2 linked regions of the Sus scrofa genome follow. The protein of the gene in region 1 purifies or fractionates together with the protein of each later gene. This does not show direct contact. Links are inferred from orthologs where the notes say so. Each region holds a gene or a part of one and is shown in the gene's direction. Other genes may lie near its edges. The genes, in order: ARID4A and BRMS1.

Region 1 (16,538 bases):
ACTGAACTGAGGATAGGGATTGAACCTGCATCCTCTTGGATTCTAGTCAGATTCATTTCTGCTGAACCATGATGGGAACTCCCCATATGGTGACCTTTTAAATCAATCCTACAAGAACAGTGCAAAAAACAGAAAATACTGTATGAACATAGATGATAACTACAGTATTTAAGAGCTAGAAACCTAAATGGTCGAGGAATAGAAATATGAGGTTAAAGATAAAACACTTTGATGGAATGTTTTCAGACATTAACATCATTGTGAAGACCATGCAGGACAATGAATGCCTATTACTATGTTACGGAACAAAGAAAATAAAAACTTCCCTAAGTCTAAAGACAGAATATATATACAGACAGGAAGAAGGCCATTTAAAAAATCTAATGATAGGGTGGGATTAGAAGTGAATGGTGAAGTCCACTTTGATCTGTAAAGTTTGAAAATAATACAAAACAAAATACAATCTTTGTTTTCTGCCACATCCCAGCTTTTAAGGCCTTTTAGATGTTCCTAAATCTATAAAGGACTAGCACCCCATACAATTCTGATATGCAGCTAATTCTAGAAACCTTGACCAACTGGCTTCACAGTTTTCCCAATGTAATTTTTAATCAGTCATCCTCTCCAAATTGGTTTACTCACTGTCCCAAACATAGCTTTTCTTACGTAACTGCATCCTTGCTCACAATCTCCATTCACTTAGAATGACTTCCCTTCTTCTAATTTTACATACTACATACCACTAACCTTGAAAAGCCTTCAATGATGGCTCAACAAATGATGGCTTTTTGTTGGTACTACAACACAATTTGTGTTTTTAAAAACAATTAGAGCTAACTGTGTACTGATCTTTTGACAAATCAATTTTTGTAGGGAGCCATGATTTAACTTTAAAAAGTTCAATTAATCTAAACTGACCAAACCTTTCGAAGTAACTATATTAACTTCCACATATTTAATTACGGTCTTCCCTTTACTGATAGTAAGCTCCTGGAGCACAGGTCCTTGCCAGGAAGGAATGCTACAAAGTAACCTAGATGACTTGAATCCAAATTCTAACATATGCTCTTGTTTGCATCATATATGAAAGAAACTCAGTGTCTATGAATGGTCATAAAATACGCACTGATATCTAGGGCACAAGACAATGTAGAAATAGCAAAGGGTGCTAATAAGCAAATCATTTAACTTTCCAAAAAAATTTAACAAAATCATTAGGAAAGCAGCTACATTCAACAAAACAATGTTCCACTTTTCAACATACAGACATTTACAGAAATAACTTCACAGTGGAACAAATCCTATCATTTTTCAAAAGCAAACATATAATAGTAACATGGCCAATCTTGATTACTAATGAATAGTTAAGTAAAACTGCATACCAGAAATAGAATTTTCAACAGATAGCTGATCCAGGTCTTTTAAAATCTGGAACACTTTCCTTCATGTTTCCTCGAAATAAGGCTTACTCTAGAAGACAAAGACTTTTCTTACTTTTGAGTTTTTTACATAACCCACACACTCAGAACAGACTGTTTTGCTTCACTTCTTTTTTTTTCTTTTTAGGGCTGCATTTGCAGCATATAGAAGTTCCCAGGCTAGGGGTCGAATCCAAGTTGCAGCTGCTGGCCTACACCACAGCAACAGCAATGGTGGATCTGAACCTTGTCTGTGACCTACACCATAGCTCATGGCAACACCAGATCCTTAACCCACTAAGCAAGGCCAGGGACTGAACCCGCATCCTCATGGATAGTAGTCAGGTGTGTTTCCACTGCACCACAACAAGAACTCCTGTTTTGCTTCACCTCTGAACATTTTTCCTGATGAAATCTCTAGATGACAAGTATTTTACCTTGAGTTTAAAAAAACAAAACCATGAAAGTGTTTACAGTGATGCTGGGTGATTAAAAATCTAGAACTAGGAACCACAAATGGGTAAAAAAAACTCAGAGATGTTCTAATTTTGAGATTTGTCTAAAATATCATGTCAGGAAGCTAACTGCCTCATTTGAACCCTTTACCGAATAAATAAAACATTCTTCTTTCAAAACAGCTTTCTTCATAAAAACATTCACTAAAAATTTTAATATTGTACAATCACTATTCTACTAGTTTGGGCTCAAACACATTACAAAGCACAATTCTATTAAAATTAATTCTCTTTCATTTATTCCTAAGACATGATCTTTTTTTTTTTTTTTAATTCATGGCTGCACCCACAGCATATGGAACGGAGAGTTCGTGGTTAACGAATCCGACTAGGAACCATGAGGTTGCGGGTTCGGTCCCTGCCCTTGCTCAGTGGGTTAACGATCCGGCATTGCCGCGAGCTGTGGTGTAGGATGCAGACGCCGCTCGGATCCAGCGTTGCTGTGGCTCTGGCGTAGGATGGGGGCTACAGTTCCAATTTGACCCCTAGCCTGGGAACCTCCATATGCCACGGGAGCGGCCCAAAGAAATAGCAAAAAGACAAAAAAAAAAAAAAAAAAAGATAAACATACAGTATACACCTTTTGGTGGCAGCAATACAAGAAATTTTTTTTTTCTTCTTTTGGCTTTTTGGGAATTTCCAAATGCCCAGTAACATGTGTTATTTGGATCAGATAATAACAGTCTTAAGTTAGGTAGTGGAATTATAGGTGATTACCCCCAGGGGAAGTTGAGCAGTTTTATATGTTTTATAATTTCTTTACCAAAAAAAAAAAAAAAATCACTTCTCAACTCTTACTGAAATATCTTTTCTATATGCCAAAATTTTAAATATGGAGGAAAAAAATCATGAAAATGTTCACACTGTTTCTTGATAAAAATATGAAGCACTTAAAAAATCCAGAAATGGGAAAGGCATAATTGAGTAAACAGACTCATAAGTATGTCCTAATCTGGGGACTTCATTCTAAAGTATCACATCAGGAAGCTAGTTATACAGACTTATTTGAACCTTTGACCAAACAAACACTTTTCAACTACCATTTTTTCATTTTGCTATTTATGGTTCTACTTACTGGTCCACAGAAAAACTTTTTCAGGCAGGCTCACCTCAGTAATACTTTCGGGTATTTGTCACTGAACTGTCCTGTTTTCTTCTGACCAACTGCCAAAAAAAAAATCTCAATAAATTATTAAATCATTCAATCATTTTCTAGTCTGGAGCCCCATGAATAAGAGGGTTCAAATCAAGAATATTATGAAGATAATTTTATGCAGTTATTTAGATCAGTGTGACAAGGTCATTCGATAGAAAAACTAACATGCATTTATTTTAACTAAGAAATTACTTTTCTAGTAATTCTAAGAAAAGGCACTATTGTGAATGAAAAATTGACTCAATTAAGATATTCTCCTAACGAGTAAATGTAGTCAATGTGGACTACCATTGATTTTTACATATTTAATTATTTCATTCTTTAACTCAACTTGCTAATTAATACTTTATTTCCACAATTTCAAATGTAATTTTGTTCTATTGAAAACAACACAAGATCACAACAAGCTCAACGGCTGCCTTGAACAAAGTCCTACCGGGGAGGACCTTTCCTCTAAGGAGTGATGATAAGGGTTAGGTCAGGAGTTTTCAGTCCCTGTATTTCCTCCCCCAAAGTAGTATAAGGCTCCAGAAGGGTGGCACAGCTGCACGTCTAAAGTAGCAGGGCTGCTGCCAAGAGAATTCCTCAGCGCCCCAAACCCAGTTTCCTTATTGCCTCATCGCGGGAGGAGCACGCGGAAACACCTCTCCCCAGGTAGGGAGGGTCTAAGAACCTTACCTTCCCCGTCTTCCTGAAAAAGGAGCCTATAACTGGTGACACTCGATCACAGAGTATGACAAGCTGCCGAAACCCACTTCCAAAGAAGGGAAGTACTGCTCCCAGAGAAGAGGAGCCCAAAGGATCGGCCAGGAAAAAAAGACCAGCTCGTCTCCTCCGCCTCTTTCTCTTTGGCAGCGGGAGAGGAAGCCTCGCCCCCTCTCAACCCGCCTCCCGGCTCCCCTCCCCGCCGCAGGGAGAACATACCCGGCCATGGCTGCCGCGCGGCCCCCTCACTTCCGGTGCCGGTGCCTCCAATGCTGCGCCATCCCCCAGCCCACCGGACAACCACAGCTTCGAACTGACCTTTCCGGCAGATCGCGACTCTTCCAACGTTCACTAGGTTTTGTCCTGGAGAGAACGGTGGATGGGTGCCGCAGAAAAACGAATCTACAGACTAAAGAATCCGCTCTCGTCTGGCCAGAAACATAAAAAGCGATAGAGCTGCAGCCACCGCTGCCCAGACAAAATGGCGCCGACAAGCTGGTTCGGCGCAGGCGTCTTGGAAAGACCTGCCCCGCCCCCGTGCAAGTCCTGGGCGCAGCGCCGGGTTCGGTTTCCATGGGACACCCCACCGCCAATCCTCGTGCCGAACTGCTCTTCCTGACCCCCCCAATTGACCAATCAGTGCTCAGTCAAGCACATCCGGAGTCCTCTTTACCAATCATTTCTCAGGATTTACTAACTCAATACCTGATTCTCCAGTAACGTTAGTCTTCGGAGACAGCCAATCATAAGTGGAAGATGTCCTACCTGCTATTTTTCGCACCAATCCGGGAAGTTTCAGAGCTACATCCAATGAGGACGGCAGGTAGCGAGCTCCAATCCGAAACTCTTCGGCGTCATGAGCAGCCAATAGGAGTTCGTGTAGAAGCGAGACTGCTCAACAGCTTGTTATTTGGTGGATTGTGGCAGTAAATCGGGCGAGTAGGGAACCGGGCGCAGGAACTGCCGCGGCGGCCGAGAGTGGTGCTGCCCGGACGGGGGCCCACGGGGGTCAGTGGGGCGGAGGACTCGGGAGCTGACAGCGCCCACTTCACCCTCAGTTGGTAGGTGGGGAGAAGGGAAGCGGGCGATACTGAATGGACGAAGCGGTACTAGCAGCTGGTGCTGCTGCCCGGGGTCCCGGTACAGTTGGAAGCTTTGGAGGTGGGGAGGGGGATGCTTGGCAAGCGGGGCGACAAGCGCAGGAGAAGGGGCAGTTCGTGGAGCAGCGGCAGCAACTGCAGGAACAGCCGCTGCAGCTGCCTCCCCGGCCGCTTCCCCGGGTTCCCCGGGAAAATGGCTGTGGGGCTGGCCGCGCCGCTAAGTTTGCTTCCGCGCGGCGAGAAGCTGGCTGCTTGGGGGAGCCGGCCTCTAACTCCGCGGCGCGTCCTCCCCCCTGGAGTCCGTGGCAGGACCCGAGGGGCTGGGGGCTGGTACCGCTCTGGGCTGTACAAAAAGTTGAGGCGGGCGCGGGGAGGAGGCGGCGGCTGCTGCCGTTCGGCTCCCCTCCCCTCCCACACCCTGTCCGGGCCACCTCCCCTCCTCCTCTCCGCCCCCCCAGCCCCCTCCCCCTCGCGGGTCTTCCCTTCCTCGCGCGCCTCCAAGCTGAAGGCCGCGGCCCCTGCCCCTTGGGGTGAAGAAGCGCTTCTCCTTCCTGACATGGTGCAGAGCGGAGGAAGGAGAGCAATGGCGCCGTGACACTCCGCTGCCGCCACCGCGGGCCCGGGGCGGGCCGAGGGGGCCGAGCTGCGGAGGCGGGGCGCGGGCCGAAGTCGGGGTATCCGGGGGCGGCCGGGAGGAGGCTCGGCGACCGCGCCTGCAGGGGACCTGGGGAAGCCCCAACGGCGCCCTGCCCTTCTCCGGAGCGTGCCGTCCTGGGGCTCTGAGTTGAGCATTCCGGGTCAAAGTGGCGAGCGAGGCGGGGGCGCGGTGGGCCGCTGGCGAACTCTGAGGCGGAACCGCTGCCCTTTGGCGCCCGTGGGGTTCTCGCCGCCCCTCCGGCTCCTGCGTCCTGGCTGCCCTCGGAGGGGCTCTTTCGCCCTCCCTGGTGAGGGTTCTGCCCCTCCCCGCAGGCGTTTGTTTACTTTCTTTCCCCGAGTCGCTCCCCTCTGTTGACTGATTCTGTGCTCGTCTTTCCCCTCCCCTTGGTTCCAGCGGTAGAGAAGATAGCTCGTTGAGCTGGAACCCCACAGATCACCAGTAAAAATGAAGGTAAGTGGAGTCGACGCTGCTCGGAACCTCGTGCCCTGGACACTGCCTGTCGTGAGGCTAGAGCTGTGGAATGTCATTTTTCTTTTCTTTATTTTTTTCTACTCAAAATTGATTACTAAGCTGCGCTTTCTGAAAATGAAGACATGTTGAATTGGGTGAGAAATGATCATTGTGTCTAAATGCGGTCAGTTCGTCCCCTCTCCGAAGCAGTTAGCACTTTGGAAAGGCTGGTGCAGCCTTTCCATTGTTGTCCATTGGGCTAGTATTTTTAAACACTTCCTGTGTTGGCAGCAACCTTTGCAGAAGTAAAGCTTCTGTCCTGCTTTGGTTGTTTGGGGGATTTTTTGAAATTTGTTTTTTTCTTCTCCAGTGCCAATGCGATTTTCTAAGGATGGAACATGTGGATTGTGTCAGGGAGATAGCATTTCTTCTGGGGATAAGGTGAAATTCCGTGGCTAAAATATTTGAAAATGAACTAATACTAAGTATTATTATATATTATAATTATTATAATTACTAATACTTAATTTTAGTTCAGTCTTTATAGTATTTAAACATATTCAAACTAAAATAAAAGTCTTCAGAAGACAATTAATATTGGAAATAATATTGCAAACATCATATGTGATGTTTAAAGGTAAAGAAGTTATAGCATCCTGCAATTCTGTGGCCTTGAATGTTTCGGTCATCTACTTATTTGCCAAAAGTATTTCTCTTTAATTTGCCCTAGTTGTAAATGCACTAACTTTAAAAGATACTTTATTCCTTACTCATTAACTTTCAGTGTATTAAGCTCTGAAACAGTATTTTCCCAAACTTTTTCTTGTGTTCTTTTCTCCTTGAAGGAGATGTATCTCTTTGACACATGTATCTTCTTTAATGTTAGTTGAGAAAACTTACTGGAAAATGAAAAATCATTTTCTACTTAAAAATATTTCTCTATAGACTTTCACGTTTGTACTTAGAAGTGTTGAATTGAGCTTGAGTACATGTAACTTTTAAAAAAAATGACAGATTGAGATAGCAATCATTTTGTTACTGTCAAGATTAAAATGAATGGTGGAGTGAAATTTCTCACACCTTTCAGTGTATCATTCTGATCATGACCATTTGCTAAAAATAGACATTTCTTTGTGAAGCTTTTTTTTTTTTTTTAAATACCAAGATTAGTGTGATGAATCTTGTAGGTACAGCTACAAGTCTTGAGGCATCAGTTCATATCTTAACCCTTTAAAATGTAGCTTTTAGCCAGTGATTTTTCTAAATTATGCTCTGCTTATCAAAAGGGTTGTCTTCGTTTCCTAGCCATACATTTATTGTGTATCCAAAAAGATGTTGCCTTTATGTAGCTATAATAACACTTAATCATGATGTATTGTTAGTGTTAATTGGAATAGCAGTATTTCTTTTCATTTGAAAACAAAATTTTCAGGAGTCCATTGACTGAATAACTTAAAGTTTTATGAGACACTTACTATGAATATACCTTTTCTGGATTTTTAAATTTTTTTGGATTTTTAATTTAAAATTTTTTGGATTTTTTTTTGGAGTTCTCATCATGGCTCAGTAGTTAATGAATCCGACTAGGAACCATGAGGTTCTGGGTTCGATCCCTGACCTTGCTCAGTGGGTTAAGGATCCGGCATTGCCATGAGCTGTGGTGTAGGTTGCAGACGCAGCTCAGATCCCGCGTTGCTGTGGCTCTGGTGTAGGCAGGCAGCAACAGCTCCAAATTTTTAGACCCCTAGCCTGGGAACCTCCATATGCCGCTGGTGAGGTCCTAGAAAGGGCAAAAAGACAAAAAAAATTTTTTGGATTTTTAAGTTAAAATTTCTTAAAATCTGTCTGTTATAGAATTGTTGACTCATTTTGTACCTGGAGGGAAAAAAATTATATATTCCTACTGATACTTTCTAGTTACAATTTCAAATGTTTTATGTTATGAGGATATAGTTTATAAAGCAAAGGATTGCTAATAAAGTGTTTGCTTTAGGGTTTTTTTTTTTTTTTCAAATTATCAATGACATTAATAAGCAAATAATGTTCTTATTACTTGAAGTACAGAATCTTTTGAAGAGACTTGAGGTTGGAATAAGGGAAAATAGTGACATTCACATTTTCTGTTCCTTTCTTCAGGCGGCGGATGAGCCTGCCTACCTGACAGTGGGGACTGAGGTCAGTGCCAAGTACCGAGGTGCCTTCTGTGAGGCAAAGATTAAGACTGTGAAAAGGCTGGTAAAAGTTAAGGTAATTTTCCTTTTTAATGCAACAGCTTTATTAACTCAGTTGAAGAGAGTTGGGAATGGGGAGACTGCAAATCAACATTTTATTTATTGAAGCATTGCGCTTAGTGAATCATTTCTATGTAAGAGCACTATTATATATAAAACTATAGGGAAAAAGCAATTAAGAATTGAGAAATAGAAGTTCCCATTGTGGCTTAGCCGGTTAGGGACATGATGTTGTCTCTGCGAGGATGTGGGTTTGATCCCCGTCCTAGCTCAGTGGGCTGGGCATCTGGTGTTGCTTTGGCATGGGCTTCACCTGCAGCTCTGATCCATCCCTGGCCTGGGAACTTCCATATACCACAGGTTCAGCCTTAAAAAAAAAAAAAAAAAAAAAAGAGTTCCTGTAGTGACTCAGTGGTTAATGAGATGCAGCTTGGATCCCATGTTGCTGCAGCTGTGGTGTAGGCTGGCAGCTGTAGCTCTGATTGGACTCCTAGCCTGGGACCTCCATATGCTGTGGGTGTGGCCCTAAAAAGCAAAAAAAAAAAAGGAGAAATAAAGAACTCAAAATGAGAGGTATTCCAAACTGCCTCTGTTAAAATACTATCCATGGGAGTACCCATTCTGGTGCAGTGGAAATGAATCTGAGTAGGATCTATGAGGATGCCGGTTCTATTCCTGGCCTTGCTCAGTGGATTAAGGATCTGGCATTGCTGTGAGCTGTGGTGTAGGTAACAGATGCAGCTCGGATCCCAAGTTACTGTGGCTATTGTGTAGGCTGGCAGCTGCAGCTCCAATTTGACCACTAGTCTGGGAACCTCCATGTGCTGCAGGTGTGGCCCTAAAAAAAAAAGCAAAATAAATAAATTAAAATAAAATAAATACAGCAATTGTTTGGGAAGAGCTTATCATACATAAATTACCTAGAATTTGAAATTTCCTCTTATTTGGGTACTTATGCCCTTTCCAGCTCCCTTAACCCCACTCTCTTAATAGAGCAAGTTACCCTATATTTGTGGGCAGGTCTGTAGTAGAACAAAGCACTTATTTGTGACTGAATTGCATATTAGATTATTATTTAGGTTTACTTTATAAAGCACTAGAAGACTTCTGATTTTAATTTGTTAACCTTGCCTGTAGGTAGTAAAGTTCCATACTGGTTTGGGTTTTCTCTCTTTTTTTTTTTTTCTGTTTTATTTTATTTTTTAAATACATTGCTGACAGTCTAAACCTTTATGACTAGTTGATAAAAAGCAGCAAAAGCAGTGTTAGGTTTTACACTAATCATTGCAGATTATAAATCTTCTATAGTTAAGTTGCTGTAATACGCACTGACACTTGCTAACTGCTGGGGATGTAGTGATGAAGGAAGACTTTCCTTCAAGGAGCTCACAGTTAATGAAAGAGATGATTAGCAAAAATACTAGACAGTGTATACCATAGGTAACCCCAGGATGCTAAGAAAGCATAGACCAAAGACATTTTTGTTCCAGTGTTACTATTAATGTATTGTTCTAAAATTAACATGCAAATTATTGTGCGAAAATGTTTTTTAGGTACTCCTGAAACAAGATAATACTACACAGTTGGTGCAAGATGACCAAGTAAAGGGTCCTTTAAGAGTACGTATTTTGTTCAGTTTACAATCTGAAATGATGAATCATAAATTCATTCAGTGACTTATTGAATTTTACATTTGTAGATATACTTAAAATGTTATAAGAAATGTTAATACGAAAACAAAAATACAAATGAGATATTGTATAGCTAGTAGATATTAAGATATTGCAATAGCTGTATCCTTAGTTTAAGAATGTTAAACATGGAGTTCCTTGATGGACTAGGGGGTTAAGGATTTTGTGTTGTCACTGCTGTGGCTTTGGTTCGATCCTTGGCCTGGGAACTTCTATATGCTGTGGGTGTGGCCTCCCCAAAGAGAATTTTAAACATCTTACAGAAGGGTAATTTAATGTATATGAATATGAGTTTTGGCTACCTTTTTTTTTGAATTTTTGGTTTGAATACCTCGTTTTGTCTTTCATATTGTTGCCATAGATGTTTAGCATGCTAAATAATATGTTGGTATTGTAAGTCTGAATCTTCTGTTGTTTTAACCTGCAAACTAAACTATGTTGATTGAATACCTACATTATGTTTTCTATCCATTTCTGGCCATTTATTTATGTAATAAATCTTTGTTATGTCAGAGTACCACTTCGGTTAATATCTGATATACAAAGGTCTGGAAGCTGAAAGAAGGTCAACTGGTCCATCCCTCTCTCTCCAGGTGAACCTTTATCTGAAAGGTCCCTTAAATACAAATGCTGAATCCGATATTCAATATTTCTATGAAAGAAAATTGAAGCTATTTTTGCTATTGTACTGGTTTTTTGGTTCTTATATTCAGTTTTCTTTGGCAATATGATGTAAAAAACCCTCTGAAATAAGACTTTAAAGATGGGATTCTCATCCTGGTCCCTTTTCATATTCTCTCCCTGAGCCACAATTTTCAATGTGTAAAATAGGGATAATAATAACTACCTAACTTATGCCCAAATGTTTGGGGACTTGAATTGCATGATAAATGTATGAGCGCTATAAATGATAAAGATTTAACCCAATGTAAGGTAGAAGTATCATAAAGAGACTTTTTTTTTTAAACCCAGGTCATATAGTAGTAGGAGTGATTTGGTTTGTTTAAATTTGGTGATGAAATTTCACTTTTGTGTTTTAGGTTGGAGCTATTGTTGAAACAAGGACATCTGATGGATCCTTTCAGGAAGCTGTTATCAGCAAGTTGACAGATGCTAGTTGGTATACTGTGGGTAAGTAGTTAGGTAACTTAATATATAAGATTTAATTAGGGGTTTCATATATATCCTTCTGTTTTATAAATACATTGAATCATTATCTTGGCAGAGAAATACATGCTCTTATCTGTCAATTTATTTGATAGAGATGGCTAAAATTTCAATGACACCCTGATAGTAAAAAAGCAGTCATCTTTTGGGAGTTCCTGTCGTGGCTCTGTGGTAACAAACTGACTGGTATCTGTGAAGACTCAGGTTTGATCCCTGGCCTCACTCTGAGCTGTACTGTGGGTTACAGACATGACTCAGATCTAATGTTGCTGTGGCTGCGGTGTAGGCCAGTAGCTCTAGCTCTGATTCGACCCCTAGCCTGGGAACTTCCATATGCCACAGGTGTAGCCCTAAAAAGACAAAAAAAAAAAGGCAAAAAAAAAAACCAAACAAACTCTCTATAGTAACTTGGCCACTTATAGCTATTTTATCCAACAACATACTTCTTTTTTAGGTTGTCTTGTTATTTCTCTTCAAGAAAGTTAAATTATAGGATTATTTTTCTTCTGTTAGAAAAGTCAATATCACTTAGTATTGTAAATAATCAGACTTTTTCTGACATTAGAATTAAAATTGCAGAGTTGCAGTCTGTATCATATTGCTGCCTGTTTTATATAAGAATAAGTAATATAGATGTTACCACAGAATTTACAGACTAAAACAATTCCGACCAGAGTAGATTCAAGCCTAGGTGATAATAGTTTAATTTTTGATTTTCAGGGTAGTTACAACTCTCTTAAGTAACATCTTTCAAGAAAGACATATGTGTATGTATATATATATATATATATATATATATATATATATATTAGTAATGTGAATGCATTCTTAATATTTCATGCATAAGCTTATACTGGCTTTCAAAAATTTTACTGAGGAGTTCCCGTCGTGGCGCAGTAGTTAACGAATCCGACTAGGAACCATGAGGTTGCGGGTTCGGTCCCTGCCCTTGCTCAGTGGGTTAATGATCCGGTGTTGCCGTGAGCTGTGGTGTAGGTTGCAGACGCGGCTCGGATCCTGCGTTGCTGTGGCTCTGGCGTAGGCCGGTGGCTGCAGCTCCGATTCAACCCCTAGCCTGGGAACTTCCATATGCCGCGGGAGCAGCCCAAGAAATAGCAAAAAAAAAAAGACCAAAAAAAAAAATTTTACTGAGTAGCAACAGTTGTCATAACACATGTAAAAGACAACCTAAATGTGGTACCTATATAGTTGCTCATTGATGAGAATAGCAATGATTAACATTTCCAAATCTTTTCTCAGTACTTTCAGATTATACAGTTCTATGGATAACATCCAATCTTTGTCTTTACACCAAATATCTATAACATTGTTTGGTTTTTACATTTATGTCTTGGTATAAGAGATGTAGTTATAGTGTTGTGGTTTCCCTGTAGGAGGAAAAGAAATGACGCTTTAGGTTTGATTTTTAGTTTACTTGATTTGTTGCTTTGGATAAAAATCATCTCTAGTTGATGCTCAAAGCTGTGAAGAATGCACTTTGATTGAAAATTGTACTTCCTGTGTCTTACTCTGTGGCTTCTCTTAGTAGTAGCGGTTTGCTCTATGCCACTAATATTTTCTAACCATTTTGATTTTTCTTGGACCTCCTAAAAGTTAGTGTTGGTTCACAACGATGCTATTATTCTGAATGATACATTTCTAGGAGGCTTAGTTGTGGCTGTTGAAATGGTAAGAGATTTAAAAACTAAACTTAATGTTAATAACTCTTAGAGATTAAGTAAATACAATTTTGCTATATTAAAGCAGTGGTAAAAATTACAGGAATTGATGTGAGTAGAATCATGGGAAATTAAATGATGCATGTTCAGATGCTAATATGCATCCTGTTTGGTGTTCAATATCAAGGTTACATTCACAATACTTGTGATGTTTTATGGACATAATGCTTATGCCTCTGCAGAAGAAATACTCAGGTATCTTGAATTTCTGCACCCCAGAATTATCCTTCAATTATGAATGGCAGTCTTTATCCTTCACATGAATGGCATTTTAGTATTTCTGAAAACTAGTTGCTACTGAGCATTCTCTCTGGTGACTTTCTATGATAGGTAGTTATAGGAGAAATTGTATAATTCTTGTTCTCAAAGAGTTTAGAATCTTAATTTCATGTATTAATTATTACTGTACATAAGAATCACTTGGTGCTTGTTTGAAAAATGAGGAACCCCAAATCTCTCCAACTTAGTAGGTCTGGGTTGGCAACCCAAGAATCTTTCTTTCTATAAGCACATTGGGTTAATCTAATGCAGGTAATACACACTTAGAAAAACAGACCACACTTGTACAAACAGACTGATTTGGGAGAAAAATTCAAAATGTTTAAGATTAAAGATGTTAAGAGGCACTACTCTTGACTTTTTTTTAAATTTAAATTTAAAATTTTAATTTTAATTTTTTTTTGGCACTACCCTCTTAAGTATACCCAGTATAGCTCTCTGCTATAAGAATGTTTAGGTATTAAAGGATGTAGACCACATACATATCAATCAGTATTAAAAGATGGCAAAATAAAATGTGTGATCTCTCACAGGTTGTGAACTTTCTGTATTTTTCATTAATTGTGCACCTACTACTTACTGGGTTTAATCGCTCTTCTCTGGAACTTTTTTTTGGGGGGGGGGCACACCTGTGGCACATGGAGGTTCCCAGGCTTGAGGTCGAATTGGAGCTGTAGCTGCTGGTGCACACCACAGCCACAGCAACACCAGATCTGAGCCGTGTCTGTGCCCTACACCACAGCTCGTGGCAGCGCTAGGTCTTTAGCCCGCTGAGCAAGGCCAGGGACTGACCCCTTGTCCTCATGGATACCAGTCGAGTTTGTTAACCACTGAGTCACAACGGGAACTCCTGGAATTTTTCTTAATTTCTGATTCTTAGCAAAGTGTTACATAGGTAGAATCAGAACGTTACACTAGGTTTTATTAATGGTCTAAATTATTATTTTTTTAAAGAGAACCTGAAATTATGTCAGATTATTAAAAATGAAACGGGGATACCACACTGCTAGTTTGGATCAAATAGGAGTTATAATTATTTATGATCAAAAGTTATATTAAGAAAGTGGTATTTTAATTCCTTATATAATATCTGTATTAATTTTTCCACGTATAGCTGAATAACCAACTTTGAAAGAGATTATGGATTTACTATAATTCAATTTTTAAAAGATCTAAGAATACCTTTCCCTCTCATAGTGCACAATAAATAGAATCAGTTCATGGATTTTTGTTTGTTTTTTGAGACTTGGAAGTGTTTCCTCTTCCTATCGTAAAATAGTGCTTCCTAGCATAGTTTATTCATTTGGTAGTTCTTATCTTTGCATTAAAGATAAGGAATCTGTAATGTATGGAAGTGTGTTCTTATCTGCTCAGTCATTCGGAATATAACAAGATTGAAATTAGAACTCATATCTTCACTTGTGGGTTGCCTTTAATTCCTGGCAAATACAATGTCAGTAATACATTCTAAAACTGTTCTTTTGCTCCTTTTTTTTTTAATTTTTAAAAATTTGATGGTTACACCAGCGGCATATAGAAGTCCCTGGGCCAGGGATTGAATCTGAGCCACAGTTGCAGCCTACCCCCCAGCTGTGGCAACACAGGATCCTTTAACCCACTGCACTGGGTCGGGGATTGAACCTGCACTTCAGCAGTGACCAGAGTCACTCACTGCATTCAGATTCTTAACCCACTATATAGCACAGTAGGATCTCCTTTTGCTTTTTTGGAACATAAAAATATATTCCAATTTGGAATTTGAGAAATAAGGAAAACGTTGCTATTAATTTAAATAATTTATATTTAAGTGTACATAAACATACATCATATATCAAATTTAAAACTAGAATCTTTTCTGTCATTGCTATATTTTTGTGACAAATGCTTTTTAAGATTTGGGATTTTTTTTCCCATGCCTGTAACTATTATTTTGCACATCAGTTGTTTCAGATCTCATGGAAGTTCTAAGTTAAAAGAGTAGAGGAGAAATCAGTAAATGTGCTGTTGTAGAATGTGCTGAAGGATTATAAGGCTTTTAACTTGATTAGAACCTCTTACGACAAATGTTATAATGAGAATCAACCACAAAATGTTTTCAAAGCCAAGTGGTTATTCAATTGACTGAAAAATAATTCATTAAGGAAAAAAGTACTAACAAATCTGTTCAGTCCTGTGATAGGCTTTAACCCATTGTTTAAATAGGCTTCTGTAAGACTTCACATTCCCATATTTTGTTAATGTAATTATACATTGGAATGTTAATTTCTTAAGTTTCCGGATTCCTGAAGTTTTTGATTTTGGTTGCTAAGAGATTTCTGTAGTTATCACAGATGATTTTATGAGTAACAAAACTATTGGTCTTACCTAGGGTATCCATATATTTTTAGTTTAAAAATTTTTACTCTATTATGTGATAGATTTTGTTAATCATAGCTTTCATAAAACAGATGTAACAATAATACTTATTTTTGCCAAGTCAGAATTCCTAACTTCTGCAGTTCCCATTGTGGCTCAGAGGTAACGAACCCGACTAGTATCCATGAGGACACAGGTTCAATCTCTTGGCCCCTCTCAGTGGGTTAAGGATCTGGCATTGCTGTGAGCTGTGGTGTAGGTCACAGATGTGGCTTGGCTCCTTCACTGCTCTGGCTGTGGTGTAGGCTGTTAGCTACAGCTCTGATTTGACCTCTAGCCTGGGACTTTCCATGTGCTATGTGTGTGGCCCTAAAAAGCCAAAAAAAAGGAAAAGAAAAGAAAAAAGAATTTCTAACTTTCTCCACAGTGTTCATTTTATGCTTCTGCTTCATACCTATTTATTACTCATTTTGGTCCCTCTTAACTACGTATTGTAGCTCGTAGATGGACCTTCTGATTGTCAATTTCTTTATAAAAAGAAGATAGTGATTCTTACCTTGTAGAGGCTGCTGTATGGATTAAGACATAGTAAAAGCTTAATAAGTAGTAGCCAATTGTATCTTTGGATAGATAAAGTTAATTTACTGTTGTTATTATCTTACTATTCTCCAGCATCTAATAGTGCCATGATAACAGATCTTTTTTTTTTTTTTTTTTGCCCATGCCTGTGGCATGTGGAAATTTCTGGGCCACAGCAGCGACCCAGGCCACAGCAGTGAAAACACCAGATCCTTAACCCGCTGAGCCACCAGGGAACTCTTAGATCTTTTGTATCTAGTGGTTAGATTAAATCCCTTTTGCTGTTGTTTCTTTGAATTCTAACAACAGCTAGAATTAGGCTTTGTATATTTGTGTTAGCATTATTTTGTCTAGTATGATTAATATTATGGAGAGAGTCTTAGCTTTTTCATTATCCTCAAATTAGATATTAATATTTGTATGCAAAATAGTAAAAAAGATACAACTTTTGTAGTATCTGTTCTCCCACTCAGTGAGTAATCTATTCAAATGCCA
Region 2 (15,586 bases), on another chromosome or scaffold:
TCCTGCATGCTGAAAGCCTGTGTGAATGTCGGTCCGTTGCCATGGAAACCGTCCCGCGGTATCCCAGCATGCCTCGCCCCAGCTATCCAATTGTGAGCACTCCGATGGGCGCCTCCTGATGACGCATGCGGAAAGCGCGGGTAGGCCCCGCCCCCGGAGAAGAGGGACCGGTGCGGCGCTTCCGGGACCCCCACAGCGGCAGCCAGTACCGATAACCTCCGGCACCTCTTGGGGAATCTAAGACGTGAGGCTGGAAGCGCCACTACCTACGGGTGCGTAACGCCAACCCTGGCGCCTGGTTTGCCCTTTCGGACAGGCAGTCGGAGCCTGCCCAATATCCAGGGCGGTAGCGAGACTTAACCGCCCGGACGCGAGCTGGGGCCGCGGGACCGAGGAGCCAGTGACTCTCCCGCCCGCTCCGCCGCGTACGGAGATGGAGCGGGGCGCGAGGCTCTGGGTGCGCCGTGGAGGGACTGGGTCGGCTTCTTCGAGGGTGGGGAAGAATCTTCCTTCCTACGAGGCGTGCCCTTGACATGCTCGCTTTCTGAAAAGATAAATTGCATGTGCACAGCACCTTATAGTTTGCTTTTCGATCCCTTACCTCTTGCCATCTTTACAACACCCAGAGTAGTGATGGTTATCCTCATTTTGTACCCGGGCTAAAGTGGGGAGGATGTGATTTAATTTGGCTCTCTCAGTAGACCCAGAGACTGGTGGAGAGAGACCTCCCCCCAAGCCCCGCCCTCTCTGGTCCAGAAAGGTGGGACTTACCCCGAGTTGTTAAAATATATTTAACAGTGAAGAGAAATTGCAAAGTTTGGGAACTCCAGGAACTGAGGCTTGAAAAAGGGAAAGAGGAGGCTGATTTGGAGAACCGAGGTTTTCAGCTCAGGTTCAGATCATTTGTGAAATCCTTGAGGAATGCTTTGAAACGGCCCTCTAGGCCAGTCAGTTTACTCAAACTGATGTCAAGGAAAGGTGACAAAACACTTTGGGTTTGCTACCACTGTAGGGACCAGGGGCTACTAAGAAAGCCATTTCCTGCCCTGCAAAAATGTGTTTTGTTTAATTTGCATTCGCAAATCCTCCAGTGGTCTAGTGAGTCAGTACTGCGCGGGGTGGGTAAAGCGCGTGTGCAGCCCTGCCCTGGGGAGGCTCACAGACAGGCATGAGGATGGGCAACAGACGTGGAAATAAATAAGGAGGGGCATCTACGCGGATCTGAAGGACTACAAAGTACCCAGAGGAAAACATCCGGTGAAGTAGAAACCCCTTTAGTCAGAAATGATCTATTGAGACTGTTTAGTCTTCCTCTTGGGCGATCTTTTGGCAGCATTTGGCACTGTCTCATCTCCTTCATTCTGAAATTCTCTCTCTCCCCCTATACTCTGACTTTTTCCTCCTCTGTCTCTTGCTAATTTCCTTCTCCTTTCCTGGCATCTTGTCATCTGCCCCTTTGATGACCCTAGAAGTTCCATCATGAACTCCTTCTCACTCCACACATTCTGCCTTGCTGGTTGCACCCTCTCCCAAGGCCTGAAGAACTCACGATGTGATGACCAGATCTCTGCAGCCCACATTTCTCTGTGAGGCTTAGACCCATGGACCCCCAGCCCTGCCCCCTTCTCTCCTCTTGGGGTGTTTGCACCTGCTACTCACTCTACTTAGAATGCACCCTCTCTTGACCAGCTCAGCTCATCTGTCTGGCCCATCTTCCTCTGCAGGCCCTCACTGCTGCAGCAGGCTCCAGGTCCCAGTTAGATGCCTCTCCCGTAAGCCCCTGGTCTTAACTCTTCTCACCCCACAGCAACAGTCTGTTTCTTAGCCTTTCTGTCCCAGGAACTTGTAAACTCCTTGAGGTCAGAGACTGTCGCACCTGTGCCCAGCTCCTACCATAGTGTCTGCTGCTACCTAGCATGTATTAGATCTTCAGTAAATATTAAATGAGTGACTAAAAGAAGGAATGCTTAAGACTGTTCAGTTTGCTGAGAAGTCAACCTAAGATAAGCACCAAAAAATACTGGCATTAGGTACGAGGAGTTCGTCAGTTAACTCTACAGGATGGGCTTCAGCTGAGAGTGATGATACAGGAACAGAACAAGTGGGAGGTGGGCGAGTAGGAATAGCAAGTGTCCACAAGGCCTTGAAAAGTAGCCATGAGGTGGAAAACGGCGAGCAGTGGGGTGGGGTGAGGTTTTGTGTTTCTGCTTTCTCTCTCTGGTGGTAGATACCTGAGCACGTCTGACGTTCTCTGGGAGGAGCTGTCAGGAGCGAGAGTTGAAGATGCATAAGGGAGAGGGCAGCACTGAGGACATGAGATCATGAAGGAAGCAGGAGATAGGATTTGAGCCCAGTGAGAACACAAGCATCGTAGAGTGTTCTCAGGAAGAGAAGTGGAGGGCGGTGTAGGCAGAAGAATAGCACAGGAGTTCCCGTCGTGGCGCAGCAGAAAGGAATCTGACTGGGAACCATGAGGTTTCGGGTTCAATCCCTGGTCTCGCTCAGTGGGTTAAGGATCCAGCATTGCCGTGAGCTGTGGTGTAGGTCGCAGACGCAGCTTGGATCTGGCGTTGCTGTAGCTGTGGTGTAGGCCAACGTCTACAGCTCCAATTGGACCCCTGGCCTGGGAATCTCCATATGCTGCGAATATGGCTCTAAAAAGACCAAAAAAAGAAAAAAAGAAAGAAAGAATAGCGCCGTGGGCGTTAGGGCTGGTGGGGAAGTGCGTGGTATATTTGAGAACTGGCCAGCAGATGGTGGGGTGAAGGAGCTGGACCGGTGATTCAAGTCCAGTCTGTGCAGGGCCTTGGAAGCCCGGATCAGAAGTTTGGGCCCAGGAGTTCCCATTGTGGCTCAGCAGTAACAAACCTGACGAGTCTCCATGAGGATGTGGGTTCACTCCCTGGCCTCGTTCAGTGGGTTAAGGATCTGGCATTGCTGTGAGCTATGGTGTAGGTCACAGACGGCTCGGATCTGGCATTGTTGTGGCTGTGGTGTAGGCCGGCAGCTGTAGCTTTGATTCGACCCCTAGCCTGGGAACCTCTATATGTCGCACCTGTGGCCCTAAAAAGCAAAAAAAAAGAAAAAGAAAAGGTTTGGGCCCAGTCCGGTAGGCAGTGGGGAGCCCACCCTTGGCCTTTCCCAGCTGACGGGTCATCGTCTTGGCTGGTGTTCCCAGGCCTGGGATCACCGACAGTGTCCAAGGGCATACGGGCATGCCCATGGCTCCCGGGCTCCTGGGAGATGTGCGGCCAGGGCTGCTTGCACCTGCTCCACCGAGCGTGGGCACGCACAGGATGTGGTGAGTCTCGTGCCTTCCCCAGTGGTCCCCCGCCTGCAGTTAGGCCACTCCTGGAGTAGCCACATTCGGGCAGAGCTGTGGGTAGTGGCAAGTACTGGCTCCACCGCTACTCCCAGAGCCCAGATGCCTGTCCAGCCTCCGAGCAAAGACGCAGAGGAGATGGAAGCAGAGGGCGACTCGGCTGCTGAGATGAACGGGGAGGAGGAAGAGAGCGAGGAGGAACGGAGCGGCAGCCCGACCGAGTCCGAGGAGGAGAGCTCAGGTGAGACCCGCAAGCCGGCCCTGCCGCCCCCGGCCCCGGCCCCGGCCCCAGCCAGCCCTGACTGGCCTCCTGTCCCAGAGATGGACGATGAGGACTACGAGCGCCGCCGCAGCGAGTGCGTCAATGAGATGCTGGACCTGGAGAAGCAGTTCTCGGAGCTGAAGGAGAAGTGAGTGTGGGGACCCTGGGGCTGGCCTTCCGGGAGTCCGCGGGCCTGGGGCCTGTGCGGCGGCCCGCACGCATTTGACGGCTGAGCACAGGGGTGCACGGCTGCCTTTTACCTCCCAGGTTGTTCAGGGAACGGCTGAGTCAGCTGCGGGTGCGGCTGGAGGAGGTGGGAGCTGAGCGGGCGCCCGAGTACACAGAGCCTCTCGGGGGGCTGCAGCGGAGCCTCAAGATTCGAATTCAGGTGGCAGGTCTGTGGGCTGTCCCCCTACCGGAGCCCACGGCTCTCTGCCCCCTTCCTCCCTCATCCTGCCCCTGCCTCGCCCGGCTCCCGGCTGCCCTTTAGTCAGGCAGGGCCTCCCCTCGGCCTCCGCAGGGATCTACAAGGGCTTCTGCCTGGACGTGATCAGGAACAAGTACGAGTGCGAGCTGCAGGGGGCCAGGCAGCACCTGGAGGTGACCGTGCAGCCCCTGGGTGTGGGCGCTGGGGGGGACGGAAGCTGCGCCCCTGCCCGCCTGGCTGAGCCACTCCGCCTCTTCCAGAGCGAGAAGCTGCTGCTCTACGACACGCTGCAGGGGGAGCTGCAGGAGCGGATCCAGAGGCTGGAGGAGGACCGCCAGAGCCTGGACATCAGCTCTGGTGAGGCGAGGGGCCCCCTCTGCCCTGTCAGTGCCGCCCGCAGGCAGGGCCTGGGCTGCCCCACCTGCACCGGGGGCTGGTTAGAGGACCTGCCTCGTGGTCGCTGTGGGGACTGAAAGCCAGCAGGGACAGGCCCAGCCCAGCCCCGGGGGACACAGTGGGGGCTCAAGAGGACTGGTCCCGTGTCTGCGTCCAGGCAGGACACGGGGGAGGGAGGGGTTGTCCCCACATCCCTGTCCATGAAACAGATGAGGAAACCAAGGCTCCCAAAAGCACAGCGTCCTCTTTCCCGGGCTTCTCTGTGCGGCCAGGGAAGAAGGGCGGGCCCAGGGAGGGCCCACGTGAGGGTCGCAGGCTGCAGGGGGCAGGGGGAGCAGCACCCCGATCCTGACTCTGGTCTGGGGCACAGAGTGGTGGGATGACAAGCTGCACGCCCGAGGCAGCTCGAAGACCTGGGACTCCCTGCCGCCCAGCAAGAGGAAGAAGGCCCCTCTCGTGTCTGGTATTGTCCCCCCAAGGCTGGCCCGAGCTGGGCAGGAGGGCGGGTGGAGGGACAGGGGCGGGAGAGGCCGAGCAGCCTTCCTTATGGTTTCCCGCGGCCGTGTCCAGGCAGACCTCGCTGTCAGGGACTTCGGTGGGGTCCTGGGTCTCTCGTGGGCTCTGTGGACCTTAGCAAAATAGGAGCATCCGTCCAGAGATCCCCTGTACTTCCTAAACGAGGTCTCCTTTGGGGCCCTTCTGGCTTTCCCATGACGTCCCCAGGCATGTCCCAGGCCTTCCTACCTGCGCCTCTTTGCTGACTCTGCACCCTCCTCTGATGCTTCTGTCCGGATGTCTGCTCGGGGCTTGTCTCAGGTGTTACCTCCTCCTTGAAGCCTCTCCTGATTCCCCTGCCAGGGGCTATGGCTTCTCTCTCCTCCGTGCCCCTGTAGTAGCCTGGGGCTCCTGCATCGAGTCTGGGAGCAGTTACCCCTGCCCTGCCCTAGGCACCAGGCTCCCTCAGTCCAGGGTCTGCTGTGCGCAGAGCCGAATGAATTCTTACGCGTACCCCAACCCACCCCCACGTACGCGCACCAATCAGATTCTCAGGGCGTTGGCCTCCAGGCGATGGGAACCAGGTTCAAGCAGGGAGGGAGGACTCTGGACTACAGGGACTTGAGGGTGAATGGGAGGTGATGGTGTGGGGACGTCAGGGACAGAGTTGGATGGTCCCCGGAGGGGGCTGTGAGACCGAAGGAGGGTTGTTTCTGGGTGGAAGAGAGTAGAGGCCTTCATAGGTGGGGAAAGGGGCCCTGTGAGGGGACAGGGGATCGAGAGGCAGGTCCCTGAGTGGGTGGGATGGGCCTTGGCCTTCTGACCTTAGACGGGGTGAGGGGAGCCTAACAGTGGTAGGGTTGGGGCTCAGAGCCCCCTCCTCATGGACTGGGTGAAAGAGGTGGTGGCCATGGTAGGACGTGGAGGCTGAGCTCTGACCCCGGCCCCCCGCCCCTGTCCACGGCACCACCCCGCCTGAAGCGGGGGTTCCCGGGCCAGGCCCATCACCTGCCTCCTCCAGCAGGCTTCTTGCTTCCTTGACCCCGTTGCAGGCCCTTATATCGTGTACATGCTGCAGGAGATCGACATCCTGGAAGACTGGACGGCGATCAAAAAGGTGGGTCTGGAGTTCCCATCGCGGCTCAGCAGTTAACGAACCCAACCGGCATCCATGAGGACGCGGGTTTGATCCCTGGCCTTGCTCAGTGGGTTAAGGATCCGGCATTGCTGTGAGCTGTTGTGTAGGTCGCAGACGCAGCTCGGATCCCTCGTTGCTGTGGCTGTGATGTAGGCTGGTAGCTGCGGCTCGGATTCCACCCGTAGGCCAGTGGCTACAGATCTGATTCAACCCCTAGCCTGGGAACTTCCATATGCCACGGGTGCAGTCCTAAAAAGACCAAAAAAAAGTGGGTCTGATGCTGCCTGTCAGGGTGCGGGGGGGGGAAGCCACCGGCTGTGGTCTCTTCGGGCTCTCCACGTGTGGGCCTTCTGAGACCCTGGGGAGCTCTCTGCTCAGCCTGCCCTCCGCACACTCTGCCTTCAGCCCAGTTCCCTGGAGTTTCTGGGAGCTCACTGGCCTCATTTTGCCCGAGGCTGCCCGGCTGAGGGAACTGCTGGTCTGTGCAGCCCCTTGCTTGTGCTGCGGCAGGTTTGGATGGGGGTGGGAGAGAGGGAGGGAGGGAGGGGAAGGCAGGAAGGCAGCCGATGGGGGGTGGGGGTGGGGCTTGCCAAGCTAGAGGCAGGCTCTCAGGGGGGTTTCTTCTTACCCATCCAGGCGAGGGCAGCTGTGTCCCCTCAGAAGAGAAAATCAGATGGTAAGAACCACAGGGGTTGTTCTGCTTCCCAGTGCCCCTCCCCCAGCCCAGCCTTCGGGAAAGGAGCCCCCAGGGAGGGGCCTGTCAGATCCGTTGTCCGTTGTCAGAGAGTTAGTCTGGGTTTGAGGGCATTGTGGGAGTTAGCGTGTGGGTGGGAAAGCTCTAGGTTAATGGGGCTGGGGCATGGACCCCCCCCTGCAGCACCCACCCCCCACCCGAACTGGATAGGGAGGGTAGAATGCTGAGCCCCAGCAGCTGGCCTGGCGGACCTAGATCACCAGGGAGGCCCATGAAAGGGGCTGCGGAGCTGGCCTGTGCCCTCCTGGGCTGGCCTCAGGCCACTCCTCTCAGTCCCCCACATGAAGTGCCTGCCTCCCCCTTGGTTCAGTCTCCTCCCCTGCAGTGATTTTTCCTGTCCTGTGTACCCCCAGGACCTTGACCCTGCTGTTCCCAGGCAGGGGGCCCCTTGGAGCAGCTGGCACCAAATCCAGGATCTGAATTTCCTGCTGCAGAAAGGCAGGCTGACAGGCCCCGCAGGATCTGCCCCAGAGGCTCACCCGCACTGCTGCTCAGCCCTTCCCTCCAGCCATCACTGGCTTGGACTCCTCCTGGGGGCCTGTGCAGCTTGGCCTGGGGCTGCCCTCGCCAGGCAAGACTGTCTCCCCCTCCCCACCCAGCCCACCTCCTCCCCCTTCAGAAGGTCAGCCTCCTCGGTGCCCTCTCTGATGAAGACACGCCTCGTCTTAAGCCAGAGCAGCGGCCAAAGCAACATCTTTTCTGCTGCCCTGGGACCCGGCTCCCCAGTCACTGACGTCAGTGAGCTGAGTCCAGCTTCACAGGAACTCTGAGCCAGAAATTGTATTTGGGGGGCCTGTGTGTCTTGGCTGTTGCCAGAGGTGAGAAGGCAGGCTCTCCAGGTCGTCCTCTCAAGGCTGCTCGTGATGTCTGCCTCCTGGATTTCAGGGACTGGAATTAAAACCTTTCCTGGGACTCTGACATGACCACACGTGTCTGATTAACCTTGCCAGGGAGTCAGGGCTCTCATGGAGAGTGCCCGAGACAAGCCATCTTTTCTGGGGTCCCCGTACCTCCTCTTACTAGCTAGCAGGAGCTTACCCACTCTGACTTGGGGTATAGGCTGGGAGGAAGGGGTTCCGCCACACACCAGCCCCAGAGGTGGGCGGCTGGGCCCTGGACTGCCTGGTGCTGGCGAGCAGAGTCTGCAGCAACATGTGGCAGAGGCAGAGCACGTGGCCTTGGGTGGGGAAGCGGGCTGGGTGCTTGGTGCTTGGAGACCAGATCATGTCTGCACCTGCCCCAGTCGCTTGGCAGATTGGCAAGGCAGGCTGGCAGAGCCTGGGCGCGTGGGAGGCAGCCAGCAGCAGCACCATGTGCTGACGACCTCACAGCCAGACTCCCCCCTGTTCAGGGCTGAGTGTTAGAACCACCCCCAGAACCTCAGTTAAGCAAAGGGGTTGGTTTCCATGGAGACACATCATCCTTTCTCCATGACAACCCGAAATCCCAAAACCCAAGTTAAGCTCAAGAATGAGTCATCTGTGACCAGTAGGGGGCGCGCTCCCACAAGCTGACCTCAAGGCCATGGACAGATGAGCAATTGACCCCGGACCTCAAGGTGCCCCAGAGGCGAGGCCCAGGCCTGCGGGGACCTAGACAGGCCCTGCTTAACCCCTTCCTGCCCACCTGTGTGGTTGGAGGCGGCTGGCAAGGCTGCAGGATGCACCATGTGGAGGTGGTAGCCCCACAGTCGGGGCCCTTGGAGGGCCACTTTGCAGGCAGAGGATTCCTGCCCCCGGAGGCTGAGCCCAGAACAGGGGAAGCAGGCACTGCCCGGGCTGAGTGGACACACAAGAGTTAACTGGCGGGTGTGGCAGGGCGAACCGCCCTCAGGAAGTGTTACTCACCACTGGGAATGTGCGAGCTCCTGCCTTGGGGGCTGGATTCTCTTCCTGAGTCCCGGGAGAAACCGACTGAAGGAGCTCCCCGCCATGGAAACCACGGGGGAGCCAGGAGCAGGCCTTCTGGGAACCCCCAACCCGACCAGCTTTGCGCCTGGGCACCTGGAGAGAGGAAAGTTAGTAAAGTTGGGAGGGCAGCCCAAGAGGGCTGGGAGGGGCTGCAGAGCAGGTCGGGGCAAAGGAGGGGGAGAGGGTTCACCAAGGGTCGCACCCAGCCCCTGGCCCCCTGCTCAGGTCTGGTGTCCGCCCCCAGGCCGGCCCAGGCCCCGCTGTACGATGTGCCTGATGCCGGCGGGGCACAGGCAGGAGGGCCCCAGCAGCCGGGCGCACCGTGAGCCTGCGGGAGCGCCTGCTGCTCACCCGGCCCGTGTGGCTGCAACTGCGGGCCAACGCTGCGGCCGCACTGCACGTGCTGAGGACGGAGCCCCCGGGGGTGAGTGCTTCCCCATCACCCAGGGCCTGGTGGCTAAGGGTGGGACGGGAGGGTCTGGACAGAGAGGTCCTGAGCCCCCACCCCCTGTCCACTCGCAGACCTTCCTGGTGCGGAAATCTAACACTCGCCAGTGCCAAGCCCTGTGCGTGCGGCTGCCTGAAGCCAGTGGCCCCTCCTTCGTTTCCAGCCACTGCATCCAAGAAGGCCCTGGGGGTGAGAGGGAATGAATGGCTTGGCGGGAAGGGGCTGGCAGCCAGCAGGGCAGGGCACAGTGGGGTGGGGGTGGGGTCCCCAGGGAACGGACCTCATTTCCCATCTCTCAGGCATCTCTTTGGAGGGCTCAGAGCTGGTGTTCCCGGACCTGGTCCAGCTCATCTGTGCCTACTGCCACACCCGGTGAGCCTGCCCGCAGGGTGCCTGCTGTCTGTGGGGCCCTGTTCCCTTGGACACCCTGTCTGTCCCCAAGCCCTCAGGCGCTCTCAGCGCCCCCCAGACCACAGCCTGGAGCACTCTTCCCTCCTGACTTTTTGCTCCCCTCTCTGGCCTCAGGGACATTCTTCTCCTCCCGCTCCAGCTCCCCAGAGCCATCCACCTGGCAGCCACCCACAAGGAACTGGAAGCCATCTCCCATCTGGGCGTCGGTAAGGGGACCTCTGCGACCCGTTGCACAGCTGGACAAGTTGAGGCCAAGAGGGAAAGGGAAGGCATATGGGCACGAGCCTGAAGCCCGTGCCTTTCCCTCGGTTGGCCCCCTCCCTGAACCCCCTGAGGCCCCAACAGTTTCTCTTTCCTAGAGTTCTGGAGCTCCTCCCTCAACACCAAGGCTCCACCGGGCCCAGCCGAGGGCCCACTGCTGCCCCGGCTGAAGCCACGGTCCCCACAAGAGCTGGACCAGGGCACCGGAGCCGCCTTGTGCTTCTTCAACCCCCTGTTCCCAGGGGACCTGGGCCCCACCAAGCGGGAGAAATTCAAGAGGAGCTTCAAAGTGCGTGTGTCCACGGAGACCTCCAGCCCCCTGTCTCCACCGGCTGTGCCGCCCCCCCCAGTCCCGGTGCTGCCAGGAGCAGCCCCCCATCAGACAGAAAGGTTGCCGCCTCGCCAGCTGCTGCGGAGGGAAAGCTCAGTGGGGTACCGTGTGCCAGGGGGCGCCGGCCCCAGCCTCCCACCACTGCCCTCCCTCCAGGAGGTAGACTGCGGCTCCCCCAGCAGCTCAGAGGAGGAGGGGGCACTGGGGTCCCAGGGGAGCCCAGCGACCTCCCCCTGCCTAGGCCGCCGGCGGCCTCTGCTTCGATCCATGAGCGCTGCCTTCTGCTCCCTGCTGGCACCCGAGCGGCAGGTTGGCCGGGCAGCTGCCGCGCTGATGCAGGACCGACACACAGCCGTGGGCCAGCTGGTGCAGGACCTGCTGACCCAGGTGCGGGCCAGCCCCGAGCCCCAGGACTGCAGGGTATCCGAGAGGCGCTAAGCCGGGCCCGGGCCATGCTGAGTGCAGAGCTGGGCCCTGAGAAGCTGCTGCCGCCAGAAAGACTGGGTAAGATCCGGCCTAGGGCTCCGCTGGTCCGGGCTGGCTCTGCATAACTCTAGCTGTTCCCATTCTGCTCTTGCTGCTCCTCCACAGTGCCACCCTCTCTCAGTCTCTTCCGCTGCTTCACAAACCCAGCCCGTCTCACCACCGTGCAAGCAAATTCTTTCCACCTCCTCTCTTCCCCGGCTCTCCCACATCACCAAGATCCCTCCTCTTTTTCATCCCCCACCCGACACCTGACTCTGCCCCGCCCCCGCCGGTTCCCTTGACCGCTGCCTGCCACTCCCCGACAGAACGTGTCCTGGAGAAGTCGCTGCATCGCTCCGTGCTCAAGCCTCTCCGGCCCATCCTGGTGGCTCGGTTGCGGCGCCGGCTTTCCACCAGCGGTTCCCTGGGCCGCCTGGCTGAAGGCCTCCGCCTGGCCCGGACCCAGGGCCCCAGAGCCTTTGGGTCTCGCTTAAGCCTGCCCTCCCCGGTAGAGGTGGAGCAGGTGCGCCAGAAGCTGCTGCAGCTGCTTCGAGCCTACTCACCCAGTGCCCAGGTCAAGCGGCTCCTGCAGGCCTGCAAGCTGCTCTACACAGCCCTGAGGACCCAGGCGGGTATGCCCCCTCCCATCCCCTCCCACTGGCCCCCTGCCAAGTCAGAGGCAGGCCAACCAGGCAGAGGCTCCAGAAACAGCACAGCCAGGAGGGAAAAAAATGGGTCCAGTCCTTTTATTTCACAGATGGTAAAACTGTGGCTCAGAAAGCAGAGCGTCCGCTCCCCAGGCCCTGCCCCTGGTTGCCATGGTTTCCACGTTGCCCAAGGTCTGGCAGGCAGAGGGGTGGGTGGTTGTCTAAGAAAGTAGTGGATTCTGACCCTGAGGCCCCACAGGAGCCTGAGCTTTCTCTTCCCCCACCCCACAGGGGAGGGAGCTGGGGCTGATGAGTTCCTCCCACTGCTAAGCCTTGTCCTGGCCCAGTGTGACCTTCCTGAGCTGCTGCTGGAGGCTGAGTACATGTCAGAGTGCTGGAGCCTGCCCTGCTCACCGGAGAGGGTGAGGAACCCCACCCACCGCCTCCCATCTGGGTGGGGCTGGGGCGCCTTAGCAGGGTGGGGGGGGGGGGGGCAGGTCACTCACACTCGTTCCTCCCCTCATGTCCCAGGCGGCTACTACCTGACCAGCCTCTCAGCCAGTCTGGCCCTGCTGAGTGGCCTGGACCAGGCCCACACCCTCCCCCTGAGCCCCGCGCAGGAGCTGCAGCGCTCCCTAAGCCTCTGGGAGCAGCGCTGCCTGCCCGCTACCCACAGCTTCCAGGTAAGAGAAGTCCACCCACACTGGCCAGCCAGGGGCATCTGGCGCCATCTGGCACAGGCCCGGCCTTTGCCCAGTGAGACCCAGCAGGGGAACAGAAGCAGCACCCCATGTGGAACACATGCCCAGGCCAGCCTTTCTGGAGGGTGTGTTCCACCAGCCGGCGCTGTGCGCAGTGCTCCGGGGGCTCGGAAGCTCTGAAGTGGGATCAATATTATCCTATTTCACAGACGAGGAAACTGAGACATGACGTGCAGAAGGAAGGGGACCCAGGCAGGCTCAAGCTCCAGAGCCTGGCTTCCAGCCCACATCCCCCTCGCCCTCCCAGCTGGGCTCAGGTTCAGGATCCTCAGAGCCGATACCATCTCGGCCTTTCACCCTCCTTCCACCCACCCCAAGGACCCTTCCTAGCCCTGGTTAAGAGTCCAGATTTTGTAGCCAGATCTGGGATCCAAATGCTGGCTCTGCTGCTTTCTGGCTATGAGAGCCTGGGCAGGTTATATAACCTCTTTGTGCCTCAATTTTCTCGTCTATAAAATAGGGTAATAGTACCTACCTCCTTGGTTTGCTGTTCTGGGGTTGGTGAACTAGATAATTCAGGGCAAGCGCTTACCGCACAGAGTAAGCTCTGAGTATGACTGTTCCCTCTGGGGAAACTGCTATCCTTCCAGCCTTCAGCAGTGACCCACTAGCCCAAGCATGTCCCCTGCTGGCCTCAAGCCCCCCTCAGAGCTCACTCTAACCAGAAAGCTTTCGCCACTGCTTCTACCACTAGATCATAGCCCGCCCCACCCCTGATCCTGCAAAGCCTGCACCTTCACCTTAGCTTTGCAGCCGGCTTTGTACCAGGCAGGGTTGAGTTCTTGTTTTTGCTTCTTTCCTGACACAGCACCTCCTCCGAGTAGCCTATCAGGACCCCAGCAGTGGCTGTACCTCCAAGACCCTGGCTGTGCCCCCAGGGGCCTCCATTGCCACGCTCAACAAACTCTGTGCCACCAAGTTCCGAGTGACCCAGCCCGACACTTTCAGCCTCTTCCTGTACAAGGGGCAGGACTACCACCGCCTGCCCCCCGGAGCCCTGGCCCACCGGCTGCCCACAGCCGGCTACCTCGTCTACCGCCGGGCAGAGCGGCCTGAGACCCAGGGGGCCTCCCCTGGGGCTGCAGCAGAGGAGGGCAGTGGGGGCCAGAGGCAGGGGGCAGAGAGGAAGAGAAAGGGCGAGACGGGGACACCGAGGTCGAAGCCAGCCCTAGGGACAGCGGGGGAGAGTCTGAGACAGTGGCCGAGGGGGCCGGGCGCCAGGCCAGGGAGGACCCCACTCAGCCACGGGGACGAGAGGCTGAGGGAAGCCTGGTAGCAGAGGAGTAGCTGGGAGTGGACAGAAAGGCCGCTTGGGGCAGAAAACTCTGAGCCCGCTGGGAAGGCCTTTGAGAGCCGTCAGCCCCCTCAGCCTTCCCCACCCCAGGCAGCTCCCGTGTCTGCCGCCACCTCTGACTCCCCAGCACCGTGATCACACCAGCTGGGCAGGGCCTGCGCTGCCACGTCTGGGGCCCGGGGTAAAGCTGAGGGGGTTTTGGGGGCCCCAGACCAAGGGCCCAGGGCCCTTTGCCTCTCATTCCCCCACAGCTGGAGGCCAGCCAGCCCTCAGCGGTGAGTGTGCCCAACCCTGGCAGCAGGGGAGGGACACAGCCTTGGCAGCCCCTCCAGGCTGGGGGCTTCAGGGCCCTGAGAGGCCCCCCCACTCCTGGGCCTCAGGGGATTCAGGGAAGCAGCAAGGGCTCAGGGCCCAGTCCTGCCCAGGCTCCCTGGAGAATGAGCACCTCCAAACCTCAGTGTCCTCACCTGGAAGATGGGGGTGCTGCTGCTGCCTCCCTGCCCTCTCCCAGAAGTCTTCCAGGAGTCACAGTGGAATTCCCGCTGTGGTGCAACAGGATTGGCAGCATCTTGGGGGCGCCGGGACGCAGGTTCGATCCCCAGCCTGGCACAGTGGGTTAAGGATCCGGCATTTCTGCAGCTGTGGCTTAGGTCACAACTAAGGCTCAGATCTGATCCCTGGCCAGGGAATCCGGGCTGGAAAAAAAAAAAAAAAAAAAAGGATGGTTTTGCTGCAAAGTAGACCTCAGACTGGGGGAGAGGAGAGGGAAGGAGGTTGGGTGTTAGCAAACCGTGCTCAACACACACACACAAACCCGTCCAAGGGTCTGTTCTCTCCACTCACCGAAGGGAGAGGGTCTCCAGACAGCCCAGGGGACATCCTAGAGGTCACGTCCGGCCAAGGGAGCAGCCACATCCCAGTCTTTCCACAAGATGAGCGGTCCTTCCTCCCAGGCGTGCTGAGGGGAACTGGCAGGCGAGACGGGCTTCTGAAACAGACTGAGGACTGGGAAACCGATTTTTCTCTGCACTTACCTCTTTGGGGTCCCTCCCGAGGGCTTTAGGGGAGACGGTCTGGCTTATTACCCACTGAAGTTTGGAATGGTGACTCCTGAGATTCCACACAGCAGGCCGTTAGGGGCACCCAAACCAGGATTCAGATCCCAACTACGCCCTGTGTTCTAAGCCACCAACAAATCAACCCCCAAGGCCCAACAGACCCCCAAGGGAGGCCCCAAGTAGGCAGCAAATGAGCAAAGAATGTGCCGGCGACCACCACAAGGGGGCGTGCGCGACCCAGGCAGCCACAGGGCGGTGACCCGCTGGAACCAGGGCAGCCACAGTGTAGGTGGTCACCGAGTTTGTGGTCTTGTGGCAGCCTGGGGACAAGTGCCAAGGCCGAGGCTTCTGGCCCTCAGCGCTCTTGGAGTCAGAGGTCTGGGTGAGGCCGGCCTCCGGGGCCACTCCCAGGGAAGGAACTAGCCAGTGGGGGAAGAAAGACCCTAGCGGATCTCTCCGCGAGGACCACAAAGGGACATGATGGCTGGAAGGTGGAAATCCGGGATGCTGGGATTTCAGACGCTCCAGATACAGCCCAGGTGTCTCCCTGGGCCTTCCCCACCTCTGCCCTCCCCCCGCAAGCCTCTTGCTGGTGGGCAGCCTCCCTTCCCCTTTCTGTGTGTCCTCCCAGTCCCGCTCCAGCCCCAGTGCCTTGTACAGCGCTGGGCACTCCACAGGCACCCAATAAATGTCATCCACCTACTGGAGCTTGATAACTAAGAGCCAAGGGCTATGAGGTGGGAAGCTGCGGAGCTTCAGGGAGGGCTGGGTTCTGGGAACCAAACACAGGATGTCTCAAGTTCAGTCCCAGAGGAAGGACCTGGAATGATGGCAGGGGGTGTTTAGAGAACCCCAGGGCCGGATGTAGAGCTGGTCTCATGGGAACTAGGACTGGCCAAGGCTTCTGGGCCCCTGCGTGGGGGCCTCTGCAAGCAAGCCCCTCCCACCCCTGTCCGGGGCTCAGTCCTAACTCCTGGCTCTGGGAATTCGGCAGTGGTTCACTAGAGCACTGCCAGGCTCTGCCTCCTGCCTGAATCTTCTGGTTTATCCTCTGAAAATATTCTGATGGGTCAGGGGTCCTGGGCAGGAAAATCAGCATGACCAAGGGTCGTGAGACAGGGGGTTGGAGCTCCTGGCAGGGCAGGCAGTGATAGGCCGGTCTAAGACTGAGCTCATTATCCCCATTTTATGGATGAGGAAACAGGC

The links.
Region 2: the proteins of ARID4A (region 1) and BRMS1 purify together in Homo sapiens (affinity purification with western blotting; 3 studies listed by BioGRID and IntAct, with this or other methods). This does not show direct contact. The link is inferred for Sus scrofa from reciprocal best matches to the Homo sapiens genes ARID4A and BRMS1.

What each region holds. Positions count from the first base shown.
Region 1 is NC_010443.5:187,380,676-187,397,213, forward strand, and holds the start of ARID4A (AT-rich interactive domain-containing protein 4A), read left to right. Parts: upstream 1-4,678; 5' UTR 4,679-4,859; intron 4,860-5,945; 5' UTR 5,946-5,996; coding exon 5,997-6,002; intron 6,003-8,138; coding exon 8,139-8,249; intron 8,250-9,786; coding exon 9,787-9,852; intron 9,853-9,888; exon of another isoform or gene 9,889-10,517; intron 10,518-10,964; coding exon 10,965-11,055; intron 11,056-16,538.
Region 2 is NC_010444.4:6,045,956-6,061,541, forward strand, and holds BRMS1 (breast cancer metastasis-suppressor 1), read left to right. Parts: upstream 1-121; 5' UTR 122-272; intron 273-3,178; exon of another isoform or gene 3,179-3,417; 5' UTR 3,418-3,424; coding exon 3,425-3,563; intron 3,564-3,641; coding exon 3,642-3,732; intron 3,733-3,851; coding exon 3,852-3,979; intron 3,980-4,104; coding exon 4,105-4,184; intron 4,185-4,271; coding exon 4,272-4,368; intron 4,369-4,777; coding exon 4,778-4,870; intron 4,871-5,954; coding exon 5,955-6,019; intron 6,020-6,676; coding exon 6,677-6,716; intron 6,717-7,147; coding exon 7,148-7,155; 3' UTR 7,156-7,717; downstream 7,718-15,586. UniProt on the Homo sapiens protein: Transcriptional repressor. Down-regulates transcription activation by NF-kappa-B by promoting the deacetylation of RELA at 'Lys-310'. Promotes HDAC1 binding to promoter regions.